Linked DNA regions of Canis lupus familiaris. The protein of the gene in region 2 binds, or shares a complex with, the protein of the main gene of each other region. Links are inferred from orthologs where the notes say so. Each region holds a gene or a part of one and is shown on either strand. Other genes may lie near its edges.

Region 1 (4,235 bases), on a different chromosome or scaffold from region 2:
AGTGCAGCCCTGTGGAAAGTTTTCCTCCACAGAAGCTGAGTAGAACAGTCCTGCTAAAGAGACCAATGGAATAAGGACAGTCAACGTAGGAAGAGACAGAAACATTCTTCTCCCCCGCTTATTACCTGCCACTCTGACTTTTAAAAAATTAAGTAGTATTAAGAAAATGCAGTTGTAGGCGTTGCTTTTAATTGTGATCTAGTGCTGCTCCGTTTCTTCTTGCTTCTTATTCTGATGTGTCATCCTAGCTGCCTGTGGTATCATATTAGGAATCCCATCAATAATTGGATAGGCTATTCCCAACTCTTCATTAATCAATTCATTTGTCGATGCTTCATATCTGAGGGGGGAAAAGAAAAACAAAATGAATTGTGGAAAATAAAATGCTTAGAAGTGCGTGGTCTTCAATAAACACCACCATTTATCCAATTCTTGACAGAGAGTTAAATTCCAAAAAAGTAGAATTAAACTGCTTCTAGGGTTGCCTGGGTGGCTCAGCAGTTTGGTGCCGTCTTCAGCCCAGGGCATGATTCTGGGGTCCCGGGATCCAGTCCCACATCGGGCTCCCTGCATGGAGCCTGCTTCTCAACCTCTGCCTGTGTCTCTGGCTCTCTGTAGGTCTCTCATGAATAAATAAGATCTTTAAAAAAATAAAAAACTGCTTCTAATTCTAAAAACAGTATTAGCCAACTGAAACATTTCTCTTAGAAAATGAATCTCTAATTGTTTGCATTTTGGTCAGTTTCTCTTGTATTTTTTCATTTTATTCTCGAGCTACACCTTAATATGTATTTTTAAAATCCAGTTAGAAGATCTTCCCTTTTCATCAAAATATTCCTTCCTAACTCTGGTCAACCCCAAAACCATCCCAGTTAATTTACTACTGAAACAGCCACTAGAGGAAAATTAAAATTCCCCACTATTTTAGAATGCACGCTTAACACAGCAACCTAATTGAACCACTGGAAGGAAACCACTGAAAATCAAGATATACAAAATAAAAGTTTGAGGAGGAGAGAGCAGAAACGAGGAAACTGAAAACAGTGCATCTGCAGCTAGTTACACAACTAAACGGTAGATCAAATGGTCATTTCAAGGTATAAGAAAATTGAGTGGGGATCCCTGGGTGGCGCAGCGGTTTAGCGCCTGCCTTTGGCCCAGGGCGCCATCCTGGAGACCCGGGATCAAATCCCACGTCGGGCTCCCGGTGCATGGAGCCTGCTTCTCCCTCTGCCTGTGTCTCTGCGCCTCTCTCTCTCTCTCTGTGTGTGTGTAACTATCATAAATAAATAAAAATTAAAAAAAAAAAAAAAGAAAATTGAGTGTCTTCATTATGGGAAAACATCTCGTTAAGAGAAACGTAGAAAGATTGAAAAAAAAAAAATGACTAGCAATCCACCACCCAAAATAACCACTGATAACAGTCTGGTGCAAAACTAGTGTTGTCAATGTTCAGTTTTAGTAGCCTGGGGGTGCAGAGTTCTTTTAAAAAAAAAAAAATTTAAACTCGGGCAGCCCCGGTGGCGCAGCGGTTTAGCGCCGCCTTCGGCCCAGGGCGTGATCCTGGAGACCCGGGATCGAGTCCCACGTCGGGCTCCCAGTGCATGGAGCCTGCTTCTCCCTCTGCCTGTGTCTCTGCCTCTCTCTCTGTGTGTGTCTCATGAATAAATAAAATCTTTCCTCATTTGATTAACATACAGTGTATAATTAGTTCAGAGATAGAGTTTAGTGCTTCATCAGTGGAACCTAACACCCAGTGCCCATGACATCAAGTGCCCTCCTTAATGCCCGTCACCGGTCACCCATCCCCCCACCCCCAGCAACCCTCCGTCGGTCTCCTAGAGTTGGTCTCCCTCTCTGATTCCGTCTCCTTCTATTTCCCCTCCCTGAGCTGTTTTCCCTAAGGATTCCAGGGAGACAGACCCTACGACTCTGCAAAACCCAGCCCGTCCAGAACTAAGAGCCAAAGGCGCAGCAGCGCACGCAGCTTAAAAGTGTTTAAGGCCGTCACGCATCAGCTGTAGATTTCCATAAGAATTTTTAGTCATTTTTCACCATCTTGGCTTAAAAACCTCACACCCACGGGCCAGTCCCGACTCCCAACAGTTCCTAAACCTGGCGGCGCGCGAGAACCACTTAGGTCCTTTTAAGAAAACGCCTCGCGCTAGTCCGGCCCCCAGCCCGGCTGACTGGGTCGGTCGGCGCCGGCGCACCCGAATCGGCATTTAAAAAAAAAAAAAAAAAAAAGTTCCCCCGGCGAGGCGACCGCGCGGCCAGCGCGGAACCTTCCAAGGCTTCCAGCCGCGCCTCGGCGGTGGGATCCGAGCGGCCCGGGATCGGCTCGCGCCCGCCTCCCCCCTCCCCCGCCCTTCCCGCCGCAGTGGGCGGAGCCTGGTAGCCGCAGGGCCCGGGGCCACAAAATGGCTGCGGGCAACCCCGGCCCGAGCCGAAGGGCTCCCCAGGGCCGTGAGCGGCCGCGCGAACCGAGGCCGGCCGCCGGGAATCTCACCTGAGCGGCTTCTTGGAGAGCGGGCACACCAGGAACTCGAGCAGCGCCGGGTCGAAGGCGCGGGGCGGGCCTCCCGTCCTCTCGCTCTTGTCTGAGGGCCGCCGCGACCCCGACGCGTGAAGGCGCCTGCGGGCGACCGCGAACGACGGCCCGCGCGGCCCCCGCAGTGCTGAGGCGAGCCGGCCGCACGCTCCGCTCAGCATGGTCTGGCAGCCCGCACCCGCCGCCCTGCCAGCGCCCGGCCGCTTCAGCCGCTTCCGCCGCTTCAGCCGCTCCCCGCGCAGCCGGCCCCGCCGCCCGCCAGGCCCCGCCCCCGGTGCTGCGGGAATGCGGTCCCCGGGCGGGCGGGCAGGAGGCAGCCCTTGGGTTCCGGGGGCGCTGCTGACGCGACTGCTTCTTCCCGCCCACCGCTCGGTAGTTACGGCGGGGCCCGTAGCCGCGGGGCTCCAGTGGCTGTTCGCCGCGTTTACCGATGACTGACAAAGCCAGGGCTTGAATTGGGGGCATTTTGGGTTTTCACCAGGGCTCATCGCAGGGGAGCCAGGAAGCCGGTGGCCGGATCTCAGAGTCCCACAGGGTTAAGCTTGCACCTACGTGGTCATCTCCAGAATGAGGTTTCGAACACGTATTGGGTATCTTAAAAGCATGGATTTGTTTTATGTAAATTACCATAGCACCTGTAACCTTTCCCCCCTCCCCGCCCTTTTCTTATTAAATGAAAACTTGAGGGGCCCCTGGGTGGCTCAGTGGATGAGCGTCTGCCTTCGGCTGAGGTCGTGATCCCAAGGTCAGGGGGTAGAGTCTAGCTCAGGCCTGACCCCGGGTCCTGGGATCGAGTCCCGCATCAGGCTCCGCGCGGGGCGCCTGCTTCTCCCTCTGCCCGTGTCTCGGCCTCTCTCTCTCTCTGTGTGTCTCTCATGAATAAATACATAAAATCTTAAAACACACACACACACACACACAAAGAAACTTTAGAGCCTGAAAAGAATAGCATAGGCCTCTTAACCTCCCAGAAGTCCAGCTTCTACTGTGAATTCAACTGCATCATAAAGCGCAGCCAGTTTATAAATGAGCTGGTGACAGCAAGGAGTCTGAGCAACTGTGCAACCAAGCGGGTGGATGTACCTTAGTTGGATGGCAAATCCGCTCAGTGGATTTTCCGCGCCAGGTTTGCATCTGGTGCTCTAGGGAAGTGGTCTCAGGCTTGATCTCTTTCTTACCATGAAGGAAGGGTTGGGCTCTGGGGCCTGGCAGCTCGGTTTCTGGTCCGTGCTTTACTAGCTGTGTAAGTCCAGCCAACGACTTACCCAGTTTCTTTTTTTTTTTTTTTAATTTTTTTAAATTAATTTATTTATTTATGATAGTCATCAGCGAGAGAGAGAGAGAGAGGAGAGAGAGAGGCAGAGACACAGGCAGAGGGAGAAGCAGGCTCCATGCACCGGGAGCCCGATGTGGGATTCGATCCCGGGTCTCCAGGATCGCGCCCTGGGCCAAAGGCAGGCGCCAAACCGCTGCGCCACCCAGGGATCCCCCCACTCAGTTTCTTTATTGTATGATAAGATAATGGCACCTACCTCATGAAATCTCCTTGTGGGCATTCAAATGGGATCTTGCAGGCAAAGAATATTTAGAAGAGTGATCCGGACAATTAACAATTGAGTTAATGCTCAATTAATGTTCTCTATTGTTATTTTTACGTCCTCTGTTCTTTCCAGTACATTGTGCT
Region 2 (4,005 bases):
GATTTCCGTAAGCATGGGTGACAATTATGACTTTGTGCCCTCTTTCAATCAGGCACTGAGAGAGCTGGTAAATGTGGCTTTCCACGCCTCCCATGTTAGGATAGAAAAAGTCCGACACCATGCATATATTATGGGTACGGGTCCTATATGCTGAGAGACTTCCAGGGCTAACACGGGGGAGCACAGATGAGCGAGGCTGGCCATGCCCACCTCCTCCTCTATAGGCCATGCTGAGATGGTTTAGGCATTTGTCCTTAGAGCAACTCGATTAAGATGTGTGTCGTCTAGTACCTGAAAAAGAGAGTAAAACAAGATCTCAGCTCAGAGACAAAATACATTACGTTTTCCAAATCCAGATGTAAACAGTTTTATGCTAATGTAAATTTGCTAGGTTTCCCCCTAAAAATGAAAGTAAGTGACTTGCTTAGTACTTGCTTAGTACTTACTATGTGCCATACAACAAAACTAGATTCCACAATGCCCTTATATTTTAATTTTGCTTAAAAAACACTGCAACACATAATTTAAAAAAATGAGTTTGTTATGTCACAGTATATAAGAATGTGCTCTGCTAGCAAACCAGTTCATTCCAGTAATTAAATACATGACTCTTTACAGAAAGTTAGCCAGCCCTGCTCTAGAGCTTAGCCACTGACCCAATGAATCTCATACAATTCTGCTATTTACTTTGCGGTTTAAACTAAAATACACCTGGAGCTAGAACTTTTTTTAAGAATTTATTTATTTATTTGACAGAGATCACGAGAGAGCACAAGCAGGGAGAGGGAGAGGGAGAAGTAGGCTCCCCGCTGGGCAGAGAGCGGGAAGCAAGGGTCGATCCCAGGAAGGGCTCTGGGATCATGACCCAAGCCAAAGGCAGTCGCTCAACTGACTGAGCCACCCAGGCGCCCCTAGAACTGTCTTTTTCAAGTACTGCCTACAGCACATGCTGCAGACATTTATCTACATTTTCCTCTTCCTTATTCAAGGCTGGTAATAAGCTGCTCCTTTCATGTTCTTAACCTTTCTTTCAGTTATGGAGGCCTTTCTTCCAGGAATATCCCTGTCTTTAGTTCGAAGTTAAAAGACAAAGGCTCAATTCAAGATGGACCCGATGTGGGGCCATTTTCTACATCTAAAGGAGGAAATATGGATCTCAGGGGTCTCCTAGATCCTCCCTCATCAGCAGAAAATGCTCACTCGATATTCAGTACTATTACAGATTCTCACTTTTAAAGCTAAAAATAAAAAATAAAAAAAAAGCAACAGAGTGTCTTGGAAAACCAGTGAAATCTTCCTCAGATTTACAAATGAGATTTCCACACTTCCAGAAACTGAACTACACAATGGAAAGCGATCCTAAAGGTCTGAATTTCCGATTTCACTTGTAAACGCAGGAAATGTAAATTAACTGCCTGTATAAACTCTTAATTCTTGGCAACGAAGTCATCTATATTTTAAATCTATTCTCAGAAATACTCAATAAGTGTTTTTTGACCTGAATTTACTATTTAAGATTCAAGACTACCAAATATTGAGATTCCTCAGGTCTGTCCTTTTAAGTGGTTTCAGTACATTTTCTTACTGTGGTTTGTCACCTAAACCTGAATTTCCAGTTGTACTCAACTTAAAAAGGTGATTTAAAAAAAAAAAAAAAGGGAGTCAAGAACCACATGAATTTATCTGAAGTTCTGTCATTAACCTGCAAACGTTCTGAGGCGCCTGCCTACTTCCACCGGGTTATCACGCCTAACATCTTTATGGCGTAAAAGCTCAACAAATGGAACAACCACAGAATCTTAGATTTTAGAGCCGACAAGAGGCTTGGAGATCCAGGAATACCTCGCTTGCTTTACAAAAGAGAAGCCAAGCAAGTTGAGCGATTTGACTAAGGTCTCCACCCAGCCACTTTAGTGACAAATGCGAATGGCCGTAAATTTACAACCATCCAGAGCCAACGAGTCCCCGGGGAGTCAGCAGGAGAGGCTCCCGAGGAGCCTTAGGGAGACCTCGCGGGGGCTTGGGTCTGGAGGACGGTGCTTTCACACCCACCCCCGGGGCAATGCCCCAGCTTCACTCTGAGAGGTCACCGGGGAGCGCCAGGGCCAAGGGAGGGACGACCCCGCTCAATCAACGACCCCGTTGGAGACAAGCAGGGTCTCGCCAGGCCCAAAAGGAGGAAGATAGCCAGACCGTGAGCAGGGGTCTGAGGCTGGGGGTCCGGGAACCCTGCAACCTGCCCGCCTCAGTCTCCGCGGCACCGGCTCCAGCGCGGCCGCCACAGCGCACCCTCAGCCCCACTCGAGTCCGGAGGCTCTCGCCCCCGACTTCCGAGCTTCAAAGCCTCCCGGGCTTTGCCCCTTCCATCGCCGGCCACACTCCCACGGGTGCAGCCCAGTCCCATCCGGAAGCGGCCGAGAGTGCCGGCGCAGGGTCAGACGCGCACTTACCGGCAAGTCCCATGGCCGCCAGTGTCCGGACCTCCCGCGGCTGCGGCCAGAGTCCCACCCCGCTGCCCCGAAACACCAATCAGAGGCGTCCGCGCCCGAGCGCCGCGCCCCCGAGGCGGCCAATCAGAAAGGTGCGCTGGAGTCACGTGCAGGAGCACCGCTCAGTCTCCACCTTTCAGCGCTGGCTGTAACGTCAGCGCGCGTAGGCACATGTTTTCGCAATATTCGGGGAGACTTGTTTTTCTCTGCATCGAAAGTAATACTCCTCGGTTGGACTTTTTATATGAATTCTTAGGGTGGCGAACCTCTAGAAACGGGCCCTGGTCTCTTCTTACACAAGCAGCCTACCAGGAGCCTTCCGGAGGGTAAAGTCAGAAATCCCAGCGTGACTCGCAGCGAGTCTCTAGGGCTGCTGGGAGTTGTAGTCTGGTGGCCTTCGGAAGCGAAGCTGAACTTAGAAAACTCACTCCCAGGATGCACCGCACTTCTAAACCTGAATTTTGCAGAAGGTCGGGTGGTTCGCGTCTTGGTTGCCTAGTTACAGCGTCCCCTTTTCTGGAAGCCGGTACTCTCTGGCTTCGGATCGGACTTTTGGGGCGGAAGGCCACCCGGGTCGTGGTGGCGCTGTGTTTGTGATTATCTGTCACAGCAGAACCGTGCTGCTGGGGTTGCCTGAGGTAAATAATTAAAATCACACACTTAAAATAAAAGCAAAGTTTAGAAAAATTTGGATTTCAGATCACTTTTATACAAGTATGCCCCAAACATTGGCGACCTTACTAAAAAGTTACCCTTGTTTATCTCAAATTCAAACTTAACTGCGTAGCTTGTATTTTATCTGGCCACCCTACACCGAAGAAAAAAAATCTGAGGTCTGACCTGAAATATCAACTCCCACTGAAACTGGTTCAACTGGCTATGATGGTGCTTGGCTAGTGAATCCGTGGAAGTGGTGTGATGGCCATCCAACCCTTCCATTTGGTGCTTGGAGTTCCCCCAGCTCTGCCATGCGTACACTTTCGAGAACAGATGCCTTCCCGAGCACCATCACTGGCACCCCCCCTTTTTTTTAATGTTTATTTATTTGTGATAGTCACACACACACACACACACACACACACACACACACACACACACAGAGGCAGAGGGAGAAGCAGGCTCCATGCAGGGAGCCCGACGTGGGATTCGATCCCGGGTCTCCAGGATGGCGCCCTGGGCCAAAGGCAGGCGCTAAACCGCTGCGACTGGCACCCCTTTTAAGCCTGTAGAAAGCCTCTGCATCCCCTGAAGATTTCAGCTCCTTTCTGATGCCGTTTTCCAAGCCTCCCGAGGGAATTAAATCCTTCCTCCTTTGTATTTTTATAGTACTTTGGCCATATGCTGGCATAGCAGTTGTCAGGTGATATTCAAGTTGTTTGCCTGTCTGCTAGCCCCCTTCCTCCTCAACCTGATCCTCCCAGGCGGGTCTTCTTGGGATCTCACACTGACTTCTTTCTGAAAACTGGAAATTGAATTTGCTTGTTAAATGTCTGCCATTCTAGCCAGATAGTAAGCT

Evidence for each region.
Region 1: PIGA (region 2) and PIGY share a complex: the UniProt entries of both Homo sapiens proteins name them as parts of the glycosylphosphatidylinositol-N-acetylglucosaminyltransferase (GPI-GnT) complex. The link is inferred for Canis lupus familiaris from reciprocal best matches to the Homo sapiens genes PIGA and PIGY.

The regions. Positions count from the first base shown.
Region 1 is NC_049253.1:28,141,915-28,146,149, reverse strand, and holds the start of PIGY (phosphatidylinositol N-acetylglucosaminyltransferase subunit Y), read right to left. Parts: upstream 2,801-4,235; 5' UTR 2,713-2,800; coding exon of another isoform or gene 2,510-2,712; intron 341-2,509; coding exon of another isoform or gene 199-340; 5' UTR 106-198; coding exon 1-105. Other genes in the region: PYURF (protein preY, mitochondrial), read right to left, coding at 199-340, 2,510-2,712. UniProt on the Homo sapiens protein: Part of the glycosylphosphatidylinositol-N-acetylglucosaminyltransferase (GPI-GnT) complex that catalyzes the transfer of N-acetylglucosamine from UDP-N-acetylglucosamine to phosphatidylinositol and participates in the first step of GPI biosynthesis.
Region 2 is NC_049260.1:11,624,940-11,628,944, forward strand, and holds the start of PIGA (phosphatidylinositol N-acetylglucosaminyltransferase subunit A), read right to left. Parts: upstream 2,801-4,005; 5' UTR 2,451-2,800; intron 292-2,450; 5' UTR 230-291; coding exon 1-229. UniProt on the Homo sapiens protein: Catalytic subunit of the glycosylphosphatidylinositol-N-acetylglucosaminyltransferase (GPI-GnT) complex that catalyzes the transfer of N-acetylglucosamine from UDP-N-acetylglucosamine to phosphatidylinositol and participates in the first step of GPI biosynthesis.